2 linked regions of the Schizosaccharomyces pombe genome follow. The protein of the gene in region 2 purifies or fractionates together with the protein of the main gene of each other region. This does not show direct contact. Each region holds a gene or a part of one and is shown on either strand. Other genes may lie near its edges.

Region 1 (4,311 bases), on a different chromosome or scaffold from region 2:
TATAAACGCACGAGTTAAGCCCGTTTATACTTAATCGCAAAACTGAATTTGATGATGTATTCGTATTAATGGGAAAGGCTACGATTTAAAAAGATTTTGAGCCTATACTATAAGTGCGTTTTCTGTCAGTTGTTTATTGCGACAGTCGCCCCCCTGGCGTAGTAGAAGTTGCAAGTCGCGTTGTTACTCTGTAAACAAGAGCTTTAAAAATGGAGTAGATTTAAATGGATGAAAAGTTAATAATAGATTTTAATTGAATGGATTTTTCGATAAATAGGGAGTATCATTCAAATAAAATTGAATTTAGAGGCGGTTGATTTTTGGTTGAATGAAATGTTTTGAAAATGGCGCTGATCATTTAACTAAACTCATACCTAAAAGAACGAATGATTAAACCAGAAGCAACTTAAAAGTTGTTTATCAATGGGAAATCTCAATAAGCACTTACATACCTTGCCTAAACTGCATTCTCCAGCGACCTAAAAATCTCAGTGCGATAATTCTGAAGTCCATCATTACTATTAAATTTAATCTTTTATATACGTCGTATGAAAACCTTTTTCTTGACTATAAAAATCATGACAAATGAAAATTTCGGCTAAAAAAACGTAGCATTTCATATCATAAACAGGGAGAGATGAATATAAAAACCGTCAATCCTTAGAAAGGAAACGTAATGAAGCTATGTCCAACAAAAATTTAGTTCAAGCTTTTCTTCGATAATTCGAATTCATGAACACATGTAAAATGCTTATTAATCAATTATGCTAAGGGACTCTCTTGATTTAACGTCCAAAATAACAGATAGAGTTTACAAGAACTCTCACGTTTCTCGAAACAATAATTCTCCGTGATTCATTATGAACATCAAACTTATTAGAATAGATGGAAAATTATTCATACTTTATAAAAACCAAGAATGATGATAAAAAGTATGAGACATGCCATTATAAAAAATTCAATCGCAAGTACTTTTACATTACTCTTCAGCTGATAAATGCTTTCCTTGTGTGTTAGGAACAGGCATGGTATCAGAGTTGCCGTTTTCAGGAATATGCATTTGATCAGGTACGAGGGCAGGAGATCCAATCGAAATTTCCATGCCAATCGGTGCACCCCTCGTTTGCAGGGCTAAGGGGGAAGGTGCAACAGCCGGATATGGACTAAACTGAGCCTGGGGTGGTAAACTCATTGCCGGAAATAATGAGGTAGCAGGAATAGTAGTTTGTGAAACCTGAGACTGATAATTCAAGGCAGGAGCCGCAATTGGATTCTGATTCCTTCCCCAAGATAATCGGATACGAGAATTGCCCAAAGGATAACCCTGCAACTGATTGATAGCAATTTCAGCAGACTGTCGGTTGACAAATTGCACAAATCCACAACCTTTTCCAGGTGGAATTTTGACATAAACAATTTCTCCAAAATTTTGAAAAAGATACTTAAGCTCCTCTTCAGAAACAAATTTTGAGAGACCGCCAACAAATACGGTTGAGTTTGCTGTGTCAGCAAACTGAGGAACAGGCTGTGCAGCACTATAAAATCCAACTGGTGGCATACTAACAGGTACAACGTTCACAGGACTAAAAACATGAGCCTTACTTTTAGGAGTGGCTAATCCCACCCGAATAGGACGATCACCACAAATTTGACCCTGCATTTCTGCCAATGCAGATTTCTGATCATTTTCGTCCGTAAAACGGACAAAACCATATCCTCTTGACACATTTGTTTGAGGATCAGTCATGATTTTGGCCGACTTGCATGAGTTATATCGAGATGCGAAGAGAGAATACACATCAAACTCATTGACATTGGGTGACAAGTCTCCCACAAATATGGAATATTCTGAGGCCTTTGAAATAGACTTTTCACGTAATCCGCCTCCAGAGGCCCAATTAAGTTTAAACAAATGATTTGTACCAGGAATTGGTTTGTTGTTCATACTCATCGCGCTTGAAGCTTCATGAGGAGATGCGAATTCGACAAAACAATAGCCAGCATTCATGCCTGTGTACCTGTTACGAATAAGCTTTACTTTGACTGCCTTTCCTAAAGTATTCCAAACTTGCTGGATAAATGCTTCAGTAACCCAAGGCTCTAATTCACCCATCCAAAGCGTCGTTTTTTGATAGACGTTTTCATCTCTTGATGAGCCATAGTTGCTAGTATTTTCGGAATTTCCAGATTCGTTGGATGCCATATTTGGAGAAATCGGATCTTGAGATTGTACGGGTTCATCATTTGATTTATAATCATTGTCCACTTCTTGGTCATCTTGTTCATTGAAGGAGTTATCTTTAACCAAAGTATCCGTATTAGCTGGTTGTTGGCTTTGTTCGTCTATCGAATTATGCGATTCCTTGGGTAAAATTTCAGACTCAGTCGGTGAGGAAGACATTTTAAAAATTTTAGCAATTAATAAAAGAGTGGATTATACTAGAAACCAAAAAAAATCGACACACTATGCTCACGGTAGAGACAGAAGGCTGAACTAAGTTAGATGAAAGTTTCGACAATGGATATTTGTGAAGATGAAACAATGAATAAATCGCCAAAAGGACTAATTATCACCACAAAAATGAGATGATGTACTGTGTATACAAAACACAAACTCTTAAAATAACTTTGGTGAGTTAACGGAAATAACTTATACGGTTAGTTGTCCAAGAAAAAGTACAAACTGGATTGTAGTCGATCAAACACAAAGTGAAATGAACGAAGGTAGAGAAAATTATTAGTTGGTACTAGGCCAATTAGTTAACTCAACGATCCAAACGTAAAAAAATATGAATCAAAGTTAAGTAGTAAGTCTTCGATAACTGATAAAGAGTCTAGAAGAAATTCAAATAATAAATTAGGAGTTTCCAAAAAAAAGAGGTGTCTTTAATAAAAAAAAATCTAATTCAAGGAAAAAAAACTTTTCAATGTTTAATTGCAAACGAATTATCAGTTAATGATAATATATTAAATTAATTGAAAAGTCAACTCAAAAGTGAAAATGTATGCTTGTAAAATGCACACAATATGCAATGTCTAAAGGAAAACGGAAGAGAAAGTTCAATTTAAACGGCAGAAGGAATAACAACGATACTTGGGTATCGCTGAACGCAGAAACGAAAAACGAATATAGCAATTAACGTAAACACGAGAGTCTACTGCAATCAAAATAACAGCAATTGCGCTTTAAACCTACGAGCAAAAAGAAAGAGAAGAAAATATTAAAATAAAAGACCTCAAAAAAAAAAAAAAGCGAAATGCTAACTTCAAAATCAAAATGCAATTTTTAACTCAAATTTGACGCAATTCCCTCGATATTACTTTCTATATGTAGCTCAATTAAAATATAAGAAAATGAGAAATAATATAAGCACAAGGACAAAGGAAACAAAGGAATTGTTCAAATACGGGGTTTCGATGTTGTAGCGTAGGTAAGTTGACTTATCTATCAGCACATTGTTAGGCAATCTATTTATGCAATTATAAATTATTGATTTTTTTAAGGTTTTTCATTTACATAAGTATTTTTTTGAATTTTATTTGTGCAACCATGTTATTAATTATGTCTTTTGAATTTCTTTTCTTATGCAGTTTTGGATTCCTGCGCAGGGTTCCATCGCTTCAGTCATAGTAGTAAAATGAGGTAAATGATTTACGTTGCTTGAAATGTGCAGATCCTACGGATGCGTCATATGGTGCTGGCAAAAGAAAAATGCGAATTTGTAGGTTTAGAGACAGCTTAAATTTTGCTTTCACCGTTTCCATTAATTCTATAAACTTTCATTTTTCATACAGTTGTTTGTCTTTGTATCCACCTGGCTAAATACATTAGAGGTTAAGCGCCAACACTCAGTCATATAAATATTGAATAGTAAGCCGCTAAAGAGAATTCAAGCGACACTACTTGATCAATTTTTAATGAAAGATACCATTATAAATTTAGAAATACAAATAATAATAGTTTTGAAATTTGGTTCTGCTATCAATACCTACGCATTGCACTTTAAAGACAAAGTAATTAGGAAAAAGGTAATGAATATTTTTAATTTAAAAAAAAAAAAAAAAAAAAAAAAAAGAAATTTAGGTATTAAGTAAAGCCATATAGCTTAAAATGCATGGGTATGTAACAGTATTCATATAGATTAGTTGAATTTAGGGGGAAACAACTTTAGAAGAAAGTAGAACATATAAAAACATTAATTAAAATATTTGTTTATTAAAACAATTTACAGCTGCTTTGATACTGCACGGACGATGCTTAAGCTATTTGAAACGTTTAATTAGAAAATTTGCAAAATGCTGCTTGGGAAA
Region 2 (6,694 bases):
GTTATGAACGATCTAATTCCGTATCATACTGTTCAGATTCAAGTCTTAGCTCCCCTTTGCCTGACGACAATATGCTACAAGATCCACACGCTTTGAACATGGCGTATGCTAAAGAATTCGATGTTCTTATCAATGAAGTCTTACAGTCTCTTTAATTATTTATAACAGACTTCCTGAATTACGAGTCTTTATAACAACCACTTTTTTTTTGACAATTGAGATGCCATCTCCTATTAACTTTTGGATAATGCTTTTAATTATACATGTCCAAATATGGACTGGAGTCAATAACTCGGCATTTTTATATTATTTTATTTTAATATCATATGCATCTTATGTTTTTTTTTTAACTATTTCGTTGTAGTACTTGCTTTGAGATACATAGTGTCCATGGTGTCTGCAACAAATACAACCGCATCTGTTTTGGCTTAATTTAATGATTCTTAGTTAATTTTAATTACTTTTTTTCTAATAACTTATTTTTTTATTTATTTCACAAGCGTACTAGTAATATCATTTGTTGCTTGAATATTATGTTAATGGCAAAATGGTAACATGCATTACATCCTAAAGAGTGAGAGTAGTAGCTGTGTTTACGATATCATCTTTTATCTCTTACATCTTCGGCATTAAATCAGGTTGGCTACTGGCTAACGAGAAGTGTACATGTATTTTAGATTTTCCTTAAACAATTTGCTGAAATTAGCAATTTGATAAAATGCTTCATTTAGGGCATGACGAGAATATATATGTACATAAAATTTTAAGGGTATTTGTAATGATGCGAAGTAACTAAACTTTTAAAAAACAATATGTGATTTGATTTTTTTTCTTTTAATATCGTGTTCCATTATAACCCGAATCAGAAGATCCATCGTCATGATACTCTTCGTCGCTAGCCTCTCGACTTTTGGAAATGTTGTCATCCTGAGTTTGTTTTCTTTGCTCTTCTTCTCGTTGAGCTTGCATAAACAATCTTGCTTCATCATCGGGAATAGGTTCATCTTGGCATTTGGCCGCATAATCATTTCGTATTTGCTCGGCTCTCATTTCATATTCTTTAGTTAGGCGCTGATAACGAAGAATTTTTCCAGCATAAGCTTCTCTTTGTGCTGCAATTTCATCAATCCAAGGTTTTTTACCTAAATCATCAAGCTGGCGCCAAGTTTTCCCTAGTTTGGCACGTGTTTCATTAATAGTAGCCTTCGCTGTACTATCTCCTGTTAACCTTCGCTTGTCTTCATCAGCAAGTGCACGGCATACATGCCACTGCATTTTTTGGTAAAGTAAAAAGGGATTTGCATTCGGCTTGGAAGGAGGTTCAGGTAAATAACCAAGAAGTTCAGTTACAAGCTGTTCCTGTTCTTCCTTATGCTCGTCAAGTCTTTCCTGCTTTTTCAACCTATATCTTGCCTGATAAGAAAGGTGACGCTGTGCTTCAGCATTGGGATCAAAATTATTAACTTTAGAGTTTCGCAAAAACTGATCCAATTCTTTGCGAGAGGTTTCTCCAATGATAGGTATGGTTAAGGAAATTGGAGCCAATGAATCAATAATCCCTGTACATACGGAAAGGCCAGATAAAAAGGATCTTTGTAATGTCCTACAGCCTACGCAACTGAATATATAGTCTCCAGCAATATGCAAGCGACCCAAATTATACGATAACTGACTTTGCCTAAATCTTTTTTCATATTGCTGCTTATCATTGGCAAAATTTGGATAAGAATTTAAGCCGTCATAGACACCATTTCTCGACCAGTTTGTGACCCAAGCATCTAATAAATCAGCTGAGCTGTTTGAATCATTTTGAAAATGATCTACTATTAGACTGTGTAATTCTTGAATTAAGTGGGAGGTCTCGTTAGAAGAAGAACTTGTCATTTGTGGATTGATATCCGCTACTAATATTGGGACACCAGTTTCAGGAAGCATATTCCATATTCTCAAAACAAAACAAGATTTACCATCATTCTCATCATTGTTCATTTCTTGACTTAATGATTTTGGTATAATACCAAATGATCTAATGTTCTTTCGCCAAAAAGCAGCTGCATAACGAAGAATAACCTGCTCAATGTTAACTTTATAATTGAAAAAAAAATAAATAAATAAAAACCTACCTTTTTTCCGGGTTTGAAATCTATACTTTTTATGTTTTCAGTCACGAAATTAGGAAGACCTGGTGAAAACTCTATATTTGAAGAAAAATGAGAAGGAGAGCAAGCAATTACAACTTGGTCAACCTCATAAGAAGAGTTGTCCTTACAATCAAGGGTACATTTATCATTTTCAATAGTTACCTTAGATACAAACTTCTCATAATGAATATTTAAGGGAGATGGATAAGATTGTAATGCCCATGGCAGTTGAGATAGACCTCTTCTAGCAACTTTTGGAATCAAAATATCTTTGGAGAAGTCTGTATCAACTGTGTTAAGAGGGTACAAAGTATCGTCCAATTCCGCGACCTTAAAACACCATATCAGAAATTTCTTTTGACTGTTCCCGAGTTTGGCATAAGAAGAAACTTCATCAATTAGTATTAGCATTGTTTTTTTGAAGGAAAATTCATGTGACGCATTTAATGAGAGTGATTTGGACAAATGATCAGGGAACATTTCATCTATAAACAACTGAAATTGGGATATCCAAGAAATACGAACAGATTCCTCAACGTTAATAAAAAAGCAAACAGAAACATATTCCAAAAGTTTTTCCCATAAAATGTTTAATTTTTTCACCTCAACCATGTCTAATACTTTAGTATCGGTCTCATCGTAAACTAAATCTGAGCCAGTCATCTCTGTAACTTCAATACCCAATTGTTTATTTAAAAGGTTAAGCAAAATATCGTCCATAGGCGAAAATAAAAATTGAAATCCCAAATCAATTGCTGAAGGAATATGGGACGGGTCAGTAACATCCTTGGGGTTTAAAGAAGTGGAATTACTAGAAATAGAATTCGAATTAGATGTATGATGGTTAATTTGGGTAGCCGAAGTATGAGAAACAGGCAATGCTCGAGAGTAAATACGACCTCCTGTCCTTTCTTTAGCTTCAAGTATAATAACTTTAGGAGGAAGCTCATTCTTTGACAAAAAAGATGAAGAATACTGAGAAAATAAGCCAGTAAGTTGTCTAGCACATATCAAACCAGTAAGACCAGCGCCTACTACAGCAATAGTCTTCTGCTTCGATGCAGAACTGGATGTTGTGCCAGTATTAGTTTCATTCGTAAAGGATGAATCAAAGGACAAGCATCCATAGTTTATATATCCATACCTTACAAGGAATTCATAAGCTAAAGAGGCTAATTGGAACAAACATCGATCGACACATACGCCCTGAGCTTCAACTCTGGATATGGCATGCGTAGGATTTTTAATCCAAAGCCAACAAATGCTGTTACGAATTTGGAAATAATGAAATAATACAACGGGATCGTGTAAACGATCAGAAAGCATGTGTTGTTCAAAACTTTCTAAGGCCCTCGGATCGAGATTGCATTTACGAGCTGCTTCAGCGGCATGCTCAAAAAACGACTTTAAAGAAGATGTAGGGATACTGGCTCCTGCAGATGGTATAGTATGAGATGATGATTGACTAGACCATTGTAGCAGTACTCTAGACGGCTCAATTGCAACAGAACCTTCAGGCCTAGCACCTAACTCTGAATCAAAAAGTGCAGGACTACTAATATTACCAGATGTAGCAGCTGAAGACATTAAAGGGAAAGATGAAGCAGGAGGCGATACAACTGCCGGTGCAGTAGTAGGTGGTATTGGCAAAACTGCGTTATCAACACTTTTAGATAATTCTGTTGCTGATACCAACTGTGTAGGCATAAAACTTTCATGATTGCGGAATGTAGATGGGGTAACTCCATGAGAAACTTGATCCCGATACATCGACAAAAGTTGCTGAGAAGATAAATGAGAAGCGTCTAATGGATACGGATAATTGGAAAAGGCATTTGAGTTTTGGTGTTGAATGGGGCCTGCATGAATTGCCGTTGAACCATCTCCACTGGAAGAAAGCGGGTTTTGTGATCGTGAAGGATATGTAGATGGAAATTGCTGAGAAGACGGAGAGTTTGCATCAAAAAAGTTTTCGTATGTGGATGACTTTTGTTGAGGAAAAGAGGAACCTACAGTTGGAGGTAATCCAATTGTTCTCATTCCAGACTGCTGAGCGACACCTGCATTTGAATTGCCTAAAAGATGCTGAGGAAATGGTTGATTAGCCGCTTGCGAAATTGTGTAAGGGTGAAAAGAGGAATCATATCTAGAAGGTAAAAATGCTGGATTATAGTTTCCCCATTGATTGTTCAGTGAGCTAACTGGCTGTGAATTTAAGCCGCCATCTGTACGATAAGTTGACCTTGAATACGCGTTCTGATTAACAGAATTAGGTGTGATAGACTGTAATCCACCTCCTAAAATAGCTAAAAGCGCTTGTTCACTACTCACCAATTGAGGTTGAGTTGAATTAACGTTGTTGGCGTTAGCATATGATGAAGCCCGGTCAGAATGATGCTCTGTCATTTCTGGAAAGTCATAATGACCATCTGGATCATTCTCGCTCGTGTTCATAGAGTAAAAAGATACAATCAAAGTGAACCGAGGTGGTAAAATCTCATTGAATCTCGATTTGGTGTTTACAAAGTACTTTGCGCAACATATCCTTAACGATTCGTTAAAAAAATATCGTTCTAAATATTATAGCATAATGGGATAACGACAAATATTATAAGCATTTTTATGTCAAGTCCAATCAATCATCTATCAGACTATCCAGAATTTATATTTTTCTTTTAGATAATACATGTGTCTTTAATTATTTGAATACCATGAAGAACGCCCGAGAGGCATTCAATTGCCTATTTATCTGATTCATATTGCGAGTATTATTCTACGATCGCATTTGCTCTCTTCTACAGGCTTAACACTTTGGAAATGATGAACGAAAAATGTGAAGTTCATTAATTTGTATTCATTTTCCAAATTATTGCATTAATGTGTTAGCTCTTTCATGCTAAAGACTACTACCTAAACTCGTTGATTTCAACTTGCAGAAAACAATATTACAATACACTTGAAAGTATAGTCAGCGGAGAATAGAACAAATGGAGTAAATTATTATAACAATCCAAAAATATGTTACATTGCTGTTAAGATTCAGAAAAGCTTAGGATGTTTAGAGTAGTAGTGTAGATTAACTGTTTATCAATATTATACTAAAACATCTCATTATGGTTCAAGTTCGCTATTGTTGAATTTTACAAAAAGTCTAGTCCCGCCGGGGATCGAACCCGGGACCTTCTCCGTGTGAAGGAGAAATCATACCACTAGAACACGGGACTGTTGGTTGTTAACAGAAAAACTAAATGATATATATCATAATTACATTATTATTGATTTAAATAGATTAAATAATGAATAGCGAAGTTATTTGAGCTGAAAATTAAGTGTAAGTTTTTTATATATGTGCTGTAATGAACAATTAAAATTTCAGCCTAATCATATAGTTTTAAAAGTCAAGCAATGACTTTTTGCGAATGAACTAATTAACCATGGATACTGCTTTTTACAAGCAACTCCATTTTCCGTTTTAAATAGTTGTATACAAATGTTTTTTCCCCCGAAAAATTGTAAAAATATATTAATGAATTGACAATTTCCAAATGAGTTTGCACTCGGGCAGTTTAAATATATTTAATATATTAACTATCTACATACCATATAAATCCGGTAGTATTATTTTTTCTCAATATCTGCTTTTTCGATGCGTATTAATATCATAAAAAATGCTCCACATAGGATTTCATTAAAAACATATATGTTAACTCTAAATTTAACGGTAAATCGCTAAGGACTGAATATTATTTTCCAGCTCTTAACGAATATAACACCGCAGACGGACTTGGCCAATACCAAAACTAACGCAAAACAAAAGACCAATAAGAATCATGTGAAGTATTTTACCCTAAACTCATAGTATACAATGTCATGCTTGTAAGTAATAGACAGCTAAACGGGATAATATCTAATTTGTTTACCATAAATAAATATGCCGCACGACAAACATGCCAATCAAGTTTATGTTTGAAGAGCTCCAGATGCAACAACAGCAGGGGTTGAGGATTTAATATGTTCAGAAGCCATATTTTCATTGTCAGAGGACCTCAGCCATTCATCTATTTGTTGAATGTGCTGATTTAAATTGTGCAACTCCTGAATCATTAAATCATGCTGAGAACGCAATTGCGAAAGAACATTCAAAGCATAATTGCGTTTATCTACATTTGATCCCTGAACTTCAGGAGGAAACTGCAAAGAAACCGGCGAGGTAGAGGATTGGATTAAAGGAGCTTGCTGAGATTGCGAAGGTGAAACTTCTGATTTCGGTCCATTTGACATTGATGGCTGCTTGTCGGAATTTGAGGGTGGCTCTTCGGGGTTAAGTAAGGAAGCAATTCCTTCAGCAATCCTTGGCTTTGCAGAAGTTCGAGGAGGCAAACAGACTGACTCGCCAACAGGAAGGATAGGAGGTAAATGAAACTTCATGCCTAAGGGGTTGGATTGGTTGGCAGTTGCAACGCCATTATTATCCGTGTTCGATGTTGTAGATTCCGATAATTGCTTACTAGAATCATTGCCAACTGCTACAAGCTGACCAGGGTATACTACTT

Evidence for each region.
Region 1: the proteins of lsd2 (region 2) and cxr1 purify together in Schizosaccharomyces pombe (affinity purification with mass spectrometry, with the first as the bait; one study listed by BioGRID). This does not show direct contact.

What each region holds. Positions count from the first base shown.
Region 1 is NC_003423.3:3,834,864-3,839,174, forward strand, and holds cxr1 (splicing factor Cxr1), read right to left. Parts: upstream 2,402-4,311; coding exon 980-2,401; 3' UTR 534-979; downstream 1-533.
Region 2 is NC_003424.3:444,671-451,364, reverse strand, and holds lsd2 (putative histone demethylase SWIRM2), read right to left. Parts: upstream 4,596-6,694; coding exon 2,124-4,595; intron 2,071-2,123; coding exon 835-2,070; 3' UTR 639-834; downstream 1-638. Other genes in the region: meiosis specific arrestin family membrane adaptor Ste7, read left to right, coding at 1-155; Fe-sensing transcription factor Fep1, read right to left, coding at 6,102-6,694. UniProt on the Schizosaccharomyces pombe protein: Catalytic component of the SWM histone demethylase complex that specifically demethylates H3K9me2, a specific tag for epigenetic transcriptional activation, thereby acting as a corepressor.